3 linked regions of the Mus musculus genome follow. The protein of the gene in region 1 binds, or shares a complex with, the protein of each later gene. Links are inferred from orthologs where the notes say so. Each region holds a gene or a part of one and is shown in the gene's direction. Other genes may lie near its edges.

The links. The genes of interacting proteins can lie anywhere in the genome.
Region 2: the proteins of Nudt21 (region 1) and Cpsf7 are in contact, whole or in part, in a crystal structure (PDB 3N9U), measured with the Homo sapiens proteins. The link is inferred for Mus musculus from reciprocal best matches to the Homo sapiens genes NUDT21 and CPSF7. Residues at the interface, in NP_008937.1 of Homo sapiens: Arg68, Asn152, Glu154, Pro156, Tyr158, Tyr160, Pro162, Ala163, His164, Ile165, Thr166, Lys167; in NP_001129512.1 of Homo sapiens: Trp91, Trp92, Thr93, Thr94, Asp95, Gln96, Glu112, Lys114, Phe115, Glu117, Asn118, Arg119, Ala120, Asn121, Gly122, Gln123, Ser124.
Region 3: the proteins of Nudt21 (region 1) and Cpsf6 are in contact, whole or in part, in a crystal structure (PDB 3P5T), measured with the Homo sapiens proteins. The link is inferred for Mus musculus from reciprocal best matches to the Homo sapiens genes NUDT21 and CPSF6. Residues at the interface, in NP_008937.1 of Homo sapiens: Pro151, Asn152, Glu154, Pro156, Tyr158, Tyr160, Pro162, Ala163, His164, Ile165, Thr166, Lys167; in NP_008938.2 of Homo sapiens: Trp90, Trp91, Thr92, Thr93, Asp94, Glu95, Lys113, Phe114, Glu116, Asn117, Arg118, Ala119, Asn120, Gly121, Gln122, Ser123.

The regions. Positions count from the first base shown.
Region 1 is NC_000074.6:94,030,540-94,034,039, reverse strand, and holds part of Nudt21 (cleavage and polyadenylation specificity factor subunit 5), read left to right. Parts: intron 1-1,537; coding exon 1,538-1,738; intron 1,739-2,832; coding exon 2,833-2,896; intron 2,897-3,500. UniProt on the Homo sapiens protein: Component of the cleavage factor Im (CFIm) complex that functions as an activator of the pre-mRNA 3'-end cleavage and polyadenylation processing required for the maturation of pre-mRNA into functional mRNAs.
Region 2 is NC_000085.6:10,531,744-10,535,243, forward strand, and holds part of Cpsf7 (cleavage and polyadenylation specificity factor subunit 7), read left to right. Parts: intron 1-37; coding exon 38-256; intron 257-387; exon of another isoform or gene 388-525; coding exon of another isoform or gene 526-591; intron 592-1,076; coding exon 1,077-1,180; intron 1,181-1,549; coding exon 1,550-1,722; intron 1,723-3,360; coding exon 3,361-3,500.
Region 3 is NC_000076.6:117,356,474-117,359,973, reverse strand, and holds part of Cpsf6 (cleavage and polyadenylation specificity factor subunit 6), read left to right. Parts: intron 1-827; coding exon 828-981; intron 982-3,500. UniProt on the Homo sapiens protein: Component of the cleavage factor Im (CFIm) complex that functions as an activator of the pre-mRNA 3'-end cleavage and polyadenylation processing required for the maturation of pre-mRNA into functional mRNAs.

The DNA.
Region 1 (3,500 bases):
GTGACAAAACATTTCAGTGTGCACTTTATCCTGAATAAAAGGATTTGGTGTTCTTATTAACAAGCCGCAGCCACTATGCCATGCAGATTCTGAGCTATTCTAATTCAACTAGGCTGCCAATACCCAGCCAAATGGTCTTTTGTCTGAATCTCGCCCTAGCTTAGTCTGGTCCATGTGTGTCCTCATGGCCCTGGTTGCTCTCTCCACCTTCTTCCTTCTCTCTCTCCTTTTGAGACCACATACTGGGATCAGAAGTCCTGCCCTATTCTCTTCTGCCCAGCTGATTGGCAGATCAGCTCTTTATTAACGCATCAGAGGTAATGGAAACCAGTTTTTACATAACATTGAGACTGAAGGTACTTGGCCATGCCATTGTCAGGACTGTAACCAGGTGTCTGGGCATAGAAATCAGCATCTGAGAAGACAGTGCACAAAACCTTCTCCAACCGTGGGAGCTGGAGATTGAATTTAGGTCCTCATGTTTGCTTGACAAGTACTTTACTATCTTCCCAGGCCTATATCAAGGGGTTTTTGGTAGATGAAATACTTTGGGATTAGCCATGTTCAGTCAAAATATTCTTACTGGGGAAAAAAACTATATTCAAGGGGTTGCAAGGTAGACTGTGGTACAGTGTAAATATGGATTTGATCTTTACTAAGCAAGATGAAGTCTGACACCTTAAGTCACAGTTTGGGTTCTCTTACACAAGGCTCAGAGGGAAAGAGAAAACAGGTCTAAGCCACTGGTACTACATGACCTTAATCCCAGCATTTGGGAGGGAGAGGCAGGTGGGTCTCAGTGTTAAAGGCCAACCTGATAAATAAGTGAGTTCCAGGTCAGCTCTATGAAAAAACAAGCAGCCAAAAACTGAAGAAGTAAAGTTGATCCAAAAAAGGAACTAGAAAAATTTGACTATTTGTTAACTGGGAGGAACAGAGAATAATTGGCACCACCAGTGAGGTGGCTCTAAGGATGGGGGTGCTTGCTGCTAAGACTGTTGATGTGAGTTCAGTTCCCCAGAAGCCACATGGTGAAAGGAGAGCACAGACACACATTGTAGAACACCATACATATATGTGTACAAACACTCATTTTTAAAGATATTAAAAGGCAAGCAACTAGAGAGCTGCTGATAGACAGTGGTGGCTCAGCACATAGGAGAAAACAGATTAGCTGTTAGTACAGGTTGGTTAATAGAAGTTGTAACTAGATTAGTCAGAGGAACCAGGCTGCTACTTCTGGTATCAGTGCCATGAAATGATCTAAAGCCAGTATAGATAAACACTTGGCTAAGCATTTCAGGGACCTTAGGGCAGTGTTGTCTGTGACTGAGGAATGGAAGAGCTGGGTTCAGGAATCAGGCAGCAGCAGTACCCTGCTCTCTGCTCTCTCATAGCTGCTTACGAAGCTTTGACTGGTCTGGCACAGTGTAGTTTTGTATGTGTTTGTATGGTTTCTGTATGTGTTGTTTTGAACTGTCCTGGTAAGTAAATAAGAGCATTGGTTCTCATGCTAATGTTTGTATTTGGCTCACAGGTACCCGCTTACCAATTATACTTTTGGTACAAAGGAGCCCCTCTATGAGAAGGACAGCTCTGTTGCAGCCAGATTTCAGCGCATGAGGGAGGAATTTGATAAGATTGGGATGAGAAGGACTGTAGAAGGGGTTCTGATTGTTCATGAACACCGCCTGCCCCACGTGCTCCTGCTGCAGCTGGGGACAACTTTCTTCAAATTGTAAGTAGTGTTAGAAATAACAGCAGGACAACGTGTAAAAAATGACTGTTTTAATGCAGCTTAAAATAAAAGTCTAACCTTTATTTATTTAAACCAGTACCATGAATGAGTCTTTGAAGAAAAGACTTTTCTCCAGTACAATGCTTATTTCCTTTCCATAGAGCTACATTAGGCCAAACTCGATTTCTCAAAGTGATGGGACTATTACTGAATTCAGTTGTTTTCATGTAGCTTAATCACTTGAGCTTATGACTCTAAATATTTACTTGCCCACTGGTCAGATTGTGCCAAAAAGAAAGGCCTTGCCGGGTGGTGCTGGTGCACGCCTTTAATCTCAGCACTCGGGAGGCAGAGGCAGGCGGATTTCTGAGTTCCAGGACAGCCAGGGCTACACAGAGAAACCCTGTCTTGAAAAACAAACAAACAAACAAACAAACAAACAAACAAACAAAAAAAAGAGAGAAAGAAAGGCCTCAAAACTAAATTGATAGTCTTGAAAAATGTCCCATTCGGGACTACAGAGATGGCTCAGTGGTTAAGAGCACTGACTGCTCTTCTGAAGGTCCTCAGTTGAATTCCTAGCAACCACATGGTGGCTCACAACCATCTGTAATGAGATCTGATGGGGGACCAGAGATTCAATTCCCAGCAACCACAAGATGGCTCACAACCATATGTACATCTACAGTGTACTCATATACATAAAATAAATAAATAATTCTTAAAAAAAAGAAAATGTCCCCATTCTTCAGATCTAAGAATGCAGTCTGTTCTCTGGGTATTTGTTTGCTAAACTCCATTAAATCTAGCTTTCCTTTGAGGAGGCTGACATGGATTGTTGGCCAGTGATTGTGCTCATTATATATACACTAGTTTTGCTGTTTAAACTTAGGATTGTATACAGTGGTCTGGTACTTAATATTATAGATTCAACTTCCCAGCACAGCCTCCACCTTTGGCCCTTGTTTTGATGGCTTATCAGATGTCACTGGAATGTGTCTTCTCAGTTACCCGATTGAAGTGATGATAGTTGTGTTCTTGCTGTTATCCCCAAATTGTATTCAATTGTAACGTGAACTTGTTAACTTTTACAGACCTGGTGGGGAACTTAACCCAGGAGAAGATGAAGTTGAAGGACTAAAACGCTTAATGACAGAGGTATTTTTCTGTTTAACCACTTTCACAATTCTATTGCCCATCTGAATACTATCTACTTAATAAATAATCAAATTCTCATGTGTCTTGTAGAAATAAATTTAATTTGAGCAGTTTTTAGTCAGTAAGTAGAACTTAAATCTGAATTAGTATAAATTGTTTTCTGGAAAATAAATATGTCTGAGATCTTAAGCTGAGATCAAAGGATTATCTTGTTCAAGACCATTTAGGTTACATAGTGAGTTCTAGGCCAGCTGGGCCACACAGAGTGAGACCCAATTGCTAAATAAACTAAAATGTCGATGAAACAATAATGCTCAGGTGCCGCTTTGGTAGCGGTTTCCGAGGAAAGCTACTCACGTTTCCTCTGGTTCTTCTGAAAACTACCAAAACGTCAGGAGAAAGGTCATTTTTTTTTTTTAAAGGTATAAAATTCAGTAGTGTTTATGGAATGCAAAAATGAGACCTTAACAAAAAGATGAAGTCATAACTAAGCGAGAGCCAGAAGGCTGTGGAGCACACCACAGCAGACTCAGCAGAAATGGAGCTCAGCAGGATGTCCGTCAGAAACGCAGCGGAGAAGAACGGAGAGGCTGAGGGATTGCCC
Region 2 (3,500 bases), on another chromosome or scaffold:
AGTTTGAAGACTCCATTATCAATCCCTCATCTTTTAGGACTCGGAGTTCAACAATACAGATCAGATTGACCTATATGATGATGTGTTGACGGCTGCCTCACAGCCCTCAGATGACAGAAGCAGTAGCACGGAACCACCCCCTCCTGTTCGCCAGGAGCCAGCTCCCAAACCAAACAACAAGACCCCTGCAATTCTGTATACATACAGTGGCCTGCGGAGTCGGCGAGCAGCTGTCTATGTAGGCAGCTTCTCCTGGGTAAGCAAGGATAACCAAAAATCTCAAGGGTGGGCTGGAGGGAGAGCACTGGGAGGTGATGGCATTTTCAGAAACCACTGTTGCACTGTTTTGTGCTCTGATGGGGTTGGATTTCTTTTTCCTGGGATCAGGTTGGATTGATCTCTGAAAGAGAACTATCCTGAGGACGTACTGGTGCCGAAGAAAGCATTGATTAAGTGGGTAGTTGCCTTTTCTGCCATCTTATTACTGCCCCTGACCCTGGGGCTTTATGTCTAGCAGGGTCATCTATGGGACGAGATATCAGAGTGAACACCTTGAACTCTTGGTGGTCATTAGATGGTCCTGTGATAATGGTGGGTGATGGGGATCAAAGACCTTGATAGCTGTAGTGTATTTGGGATATGTGCTGACAATTCTGTAAAAGTTAACAGTGTGAGATGTTTTGGGGCTGGTGGGGGGAGGGTGCCAAATCAGGAAATGTATATGCTGATGGGAATATTCCTGGCATGGTCAACTCTAGCCTGTCAGATCTGTAATTAAAGTTGTTAGCAATCTGTTTGAAATGATGAACAACCAGCTCACATGTCAGTCAAAATTAAAATAAATTTTAGTCTTAATCCCCAAACATAGGGGTTGTGGGATTAGATGTGTTTAATGTGTAGGACAATAAGAAAAGCCTGCACTGATTGAAATATTGCTGGGTTTTGGGGTTTCCTGTGGGTGGTCATGGTTGTGGCTGGAGTCCTAGATTTGAGAACAGGACTTGGAATGTCTGGGTGGGTGGGTAACAGGCATGTAGCTCTTGACATTTCTCCCTTTTCCATCTTGCCGGCCCCAGTGGACCACAGACCAGCAGCTGATCCAGGTTATCCGCTCTATAGGAGTCTATGATGTGGTGGAGTTGAAATTTGCAGAGAATCGTGCAAATGGCCAGTCTAAAGGGTGAGATCTAGAACTGGGGAGCCCCTTTGAGTTTGTAACTATTAGGGTGACAAATCTATTATGTTTGAACTTGCATTCTAACCCCATTCCACCCTGGCCTAGCTTACTACCTTGGTTTTGACAAACTGCCAAAGATTTGGGACCTAGCTGGAATGAAATTGAACATCCATCTGTTGAAGGGAAAGAATGTTAATTTTAAATTCCAAAAAGTAAGGAAAAAACAGGAAATCTATAGGGTGGCATCTTGTTGTTGCTGATAGGGAGTGGGGTGTGGGGGTGGAGGGATGTTTAAAGAATTTAGCAAGATGCCTTTTCCTTTCTTTGTCCAGGGTCTAAATATTTTATTATTCTTTTACTTTGTTCCTTAAGATATGCTGAGGTGGTGGTAGCCTCTGAAAATTCTGTCCACAAACTGCTGGAACTCTTACCAGGAAAAGTTCTTAATGGAGAAAAAGTAGATGTGAGGCCGGCCACCCGGCAGAACTTGTCACAGTTTGAGGCTCAGGCTCGGAAACGTGAGTGCGTCCGAGTCCCAAGAGGGGGTACGTGGAGACCATCTGTATGAAGGGGGGAAGTTGTGGGCTTGCTGCTGTGATGTGGAGGATTTGGGGCAAGGGTGCTTGCTGTTGGTTATGGTTTGGTGGCACAATTAGTGGGTGGGCCTAAGAATGAGATGTGTGTAAAGAGGACAGTGCTGGGAGTCAGGTTCAGGTTGTCCGTTCTGCCCTTGACTCTTTTCCTTTTGGCCTTTTGAACAATTCAGTTCACTTCTTGGGACCTCTTTCCCATCTGAACTAAGAAACGATTAAAGTTCCTATCACTGGTCAATTCTGTATTCTTCCATAAATGGACACACCATGAATGGGCTTGCTTTTTAAGTTGTGGATCTCAAAAAGCAGACACCCTAAAGTGTAATTAAGGTATACAAAGGCAGCTGTGATCCTATCATGAGTATATATTTGGTGTACTTTGTAAAAATCAACCATAAGAAGTATTAGGTAATAAAAGTTGTGTTGTTTCTCCATTGTTGTCCTAGAGAAAAGAAAATACTTCTAGTTATTGAATACTTAGTTGGCCTGGCAAGTATGTCACATTAGTTTTTCTTTAAAATGCGGCATTCTGATATCTTGTTCCCTTCAGTTCATCTGACTCCCTTTAATCTCAGTATGTTCATCAATCTCTTACTACCTTAGTCTCCTACTAAGGCTCTCCTCCTGAGAAGAGGGTGCACTGATCAGCTGACAGGTATTCTAGTTTGCTTGGCAGTAAATACTTGTCATTATCAACTAATAAATTAGTATTTTGGTTTGTGTATCGAGTTGGATGGCATAATTCAGTCTCTGAGGGTCTGCTTATTCCCTGATGAATTACTAAAATCAGATTTCTAACCCTGAGGACCAATTTTGGCTTATCCTGACTTCACAAGGTACAGCTACCCTGCAAGGGCCTGCCTGAAACAATCAGCCTCATTTTCTTTCACTACCAGAGAATGGGTGGTAGCAGAAGTATTTCATCACATACCTGCTGTCACTACTTTGTACCTAGCTCTAAAACAGTAGTTCCTTGTGTTGATGGGGTATGTCCTTCCTGAGGAAATAGAACCTCTTTAATGGAAACAACTGCCCTTGTGTTGACAGCCTAGATGGATGAGGTATGTTCTATAATTGCCCTGGGCTAAAAGGCACACACTTAGCTTCCTTGACAACTCAACATTTTCCCATCCCTTCTGTTTAATAGTATTTGTATTCAGCCCTCTCCTGGTTTCCCCAAGATACATCTCTTTACAGCTACATTGAGAGTAGTGTACCTCTTCTCAGCTTTCTTTGTGCATGTTACTTTTCTTCACTGAAAAGAATAAAGTGAAGAATGTGTATTTATTTGAAAATAGGAAACAAGTTTAAGAGTTAAATATGTTGTAAGCACTGAGGATCCTAGATGAGAGCATCCATTGACATACAAGACTTAAGAGTTCTGTTTACTTTTTGGAGTTGTCTTAACCAAAATACTTCTGATCTTTCTTCTGAGACCAATGGAAAGGCCCCAGATGATTAGTTTCTTCTCTCTTAGTTGCTTCACCTGTATTCTTTTATGTGGTACCAGACTTGCTGAGAGATGAGCTGGTCCTATTGCTATATCCAGAGCTTGCCTGGGCAGTAACATTAGCTCTGTTTGCTTTATAGGAATACCTCCACGGGCCCACTCCCGAGACTCTAGTGATTCTGCTGATGGACGGGCAACCCCCTCTGAGAATCTTGTACCCTCATCTGCTCGTGTGGATAAGCCCCCCAGCGTGTTGCCCTACTTTAACCGTCCTCCTTCA
Region 3 (3,500 bases), on another chromosome or scaffold:
CCAAGTGCTGGGATTACAGGCGTGCGCCACCACTGCCCGGCCTGTCACTTAGTTTTAAAGTAATAAAGGAAGATACATGTCAGTGTAGTGGGAAGACCACCAATTTTACATTACTAGATTTAGATTTCAGTGCTTATTGGGGGTGAAGAGGTGGCTCTGTGGTGAAGTGCACTAAATCCAGTATACTCCTCTTTGCTCAGTGGGTACCAGGCACACACATGGTGCACACACACACATGCAGGTAAAATAGCCACGTACATAAAGTTAAAATTAATTCCAACTGGGAATTAGAGAGGTAGCTTAAGAGTTACACTGGCTGCTCCTCCATAGGATCAAGGGCTGATTCCCAGCACCCATGTAGGTAGGGGTCACAAATTTGATAACTTCAGTTCCAGGGGATCTGACATCCTATCTGGCCTCAGTGGACACTACTTTTTCTTTGGATACAAAGACATATATGTAGGCAAAACACTTGGACACATGAAAAAGATATAAATATTAGCTATGGTATAGCTTATTCTTTGCAAAATAGTAACTGTCTCTCTACATGACAAAGCAATTAATTGCATTGCTTTGTTAAAATGAGAGTCTTTTCCAAATTCCAAAACACTGAACAAAAGTCATTGTCTCTGGTTATCTTAAAAGACAATTTTCAGGTCAGGTCGAGGTGACACATGCTATTAATCCCAGTACAGGATTCAAATTTCTGAGTATGAGACCAGACTGGTCTGTAGAGAGAGTTCTAGGACAGCTAGAACTATCTCAAAAGATAATTTGGAAACAAAAGTTTGTTTAATGATTAACCTTGTTTTTTTTTTCTCCTGCAGGTGATTATGGGAGTGCTATTGAAACATTGGTAACAGCAATTTCTTTAATTAAACAATCCAAAGTCTCTGCAGATGATCGTTGCAAAGTTCTTATTAGCTCTCTGCAGGATTGCCTTCATGGAATCGAGTCCAAGTCCTATGGGTCTGGATCCAGGTAAAATGTTCCTGTCTCATGAATTTTTAAAACTGTTAGTTAACACACAAACACACACACACACACACACACACACGCGCGCGCGCGCGCGCGCAACTTCTAAAAAAATAGAACTGTGATTTTATTTACTGTGTACCTAGCAGTATTTAAAAAAAAAAAAAAAAAAAAAAACTCTGAATGATATATTGAAATCCCGAGACGCAAGGAACTCTGTCTTCTCTTTACTCTTAAACATCTGTGTACATTCAAGCACACTGCGTGATGTCATCTCTCCTTTGATTCTCATAACTCCCATACTTACTTACTGTTCCCTAGCCAAATGAGCCCTTCTCCTGGACACATCAAGCATTTGGCCACTTTACTGAGTTTTATGCTTGATATTCCTTCTTGGAACCACTTTTCTTGTTGTTTTCTTCTCCCCCAACATTTACTTGCCTCTGTATTTCTTCATGTTTTAATATAATATAGTCTGCAGAGTCTATTTCTTTTGTAGTATTTGCTATAACTGTCTATTCATTATTGATGCCCATTTCTTAGTGAACACATGTTGAACAAGGTAGGGGCTTTAGTAGTTAAACACTGCTTTATATAAGAGACAGGGTGATTTTGAAAGAGGGAGTTATGAATGAGTGGTAATTTTGTAATAGGTGCAGTTTTACTTTAGATTTGTTTAATGTATGTATCAGTGGTTTGCGAGCAAACATGGATGTATTTCTCTGGTACCTAAGGAAGTCAGAAGAGAGCATTCATTGAGTCCCCTCAAACACTGGATTGTAAGCCATCATGTGGGCACCAGGACCCTGGTCCTCTGAACCACTGAGCTATCTTTTCAGACCCTGTAATAGATACTATGTTTTTGTTTGTGTGTTTTTAAGATGCGTTTATTTTATATATATGAGCACAAAGTTGCTCTCTTCAGACACCCAAAGAGGGCATGGGATTCCATTGCAGATGGTTGTGAGCCACCATGTGGTTGCTACGAATTGAAGTCAGGACCTCTGGAAGAGCAGTCAGTGCTCTTAACCACTGAGCCATCACTCTAGCCCCTAGATACTGTTTTTTAAGCGTTACTTTTAAAAGCATTTTTACCAATTGTGAAATTTTATATATTTTGTGAGGTAAATGGTTAATCTTTACATGATATTACTTCTTTTGAGACAGGGTCTCACTATGTAGATGAGGCTAGCCTTGAACTTACAGAGAGATCAGCCTGGTTATCCATTCTTACACAGCTACATTTTGACTATTTTGATTTCATATGTGGAGGTGTTTTGCCTGCATTTCTGGCTATAAATCACCCATGCTAGGTGCCCACAAAGGCTAGAAAAGTGCCTTGGGTTCCCCAGAACTAAAGTTAGAGGTAGGTATGAGCCACTATTTGGATGCTGAGAATTGAACATGAGTTCTTTGGAAGAGCAGCCAATATTTATAACCCTTGAGCCATCTCTCCAGTTTCCCAAATGATGGTCTTCTGTCTGCCCTTAGTATGCTTTTCCTGGAGGTAGTATCCTAAGTAAGAGTAAGGAGTTCACCCGGGACACAGGTTTTACTTTGTTAGTTCCGGTTTGGTTTAGTGTAAGTATCTCTGAACAAATTTGTTGTAACTAGAGATTATGTCATGCATTGTCTTCATTGTGGGAACATCTAGCTCGAGCAAGACGCTTAGCACTTAATGTTTAAGTTCAGTTGCCTGGTTTAGCAATTAACATGATAATAATTTTTTTTTTTTTCTCGAGACAGGGTTTCTCTGCATAACCCTGGAACTCACTTTGTAGACCAGGCTAGCCTTAAATTCAAAAATCCACCTGCCTCTGCTTCCCAAGTGCCTAGGATTAAAGGCGTGCGCCACCACTGCCGGCTTTTTTTTTTTTTTTAAATAAATTCTTATTTAAACGAATGGAATTATTATGAGGTTTGACTATGATTTTTGGGCTTTTAAGATGTGATGATAAAATTTGCATAAATTTATTTTTTTCTTCATTGTTTCGTGGGTTCTTATTGTAAACCTTAGCAATTTCAACATGACTTTTTTTTTTTTTTTCCATTTAAAGAAACAACAATGTCCACATTGTCAGCATCACTACTCTCCTACTTTGGTGCAATTATTAAATAATCCAAGAATTATTTAAGCATAAGCACTGAACTGCCATGATACTTAAGACTACTGAATACTTAATGGGCAAATAACATTTAGTGTGGGTGCAGTGGGCCGAGGGATGGCTCCCAATGCGGGCAGGAAGGAGCAAGGTGACTAAAGTATTTCATCATGATGGTTGGCTCAGTCTAGGTGGTCTGGGTCCTGGATACATGACTAGGGGCTGCAAGGGAATGAAGAAAGGGCAGACACACTTAGATACAGACAGAATCAGGGGTCTGCTACTCCTGCAACTTGGAACTTCGTGGATGGGTGCAGTCAGCTAGTCTAGATAGGAGGTCTCTCTAGAGTACCAGTTGCTGTTGGAAAAACCTCCCAGAGGAAGTCGCTTCTTTCGTTCTTTCTGCACACCGATCTTTTCTTC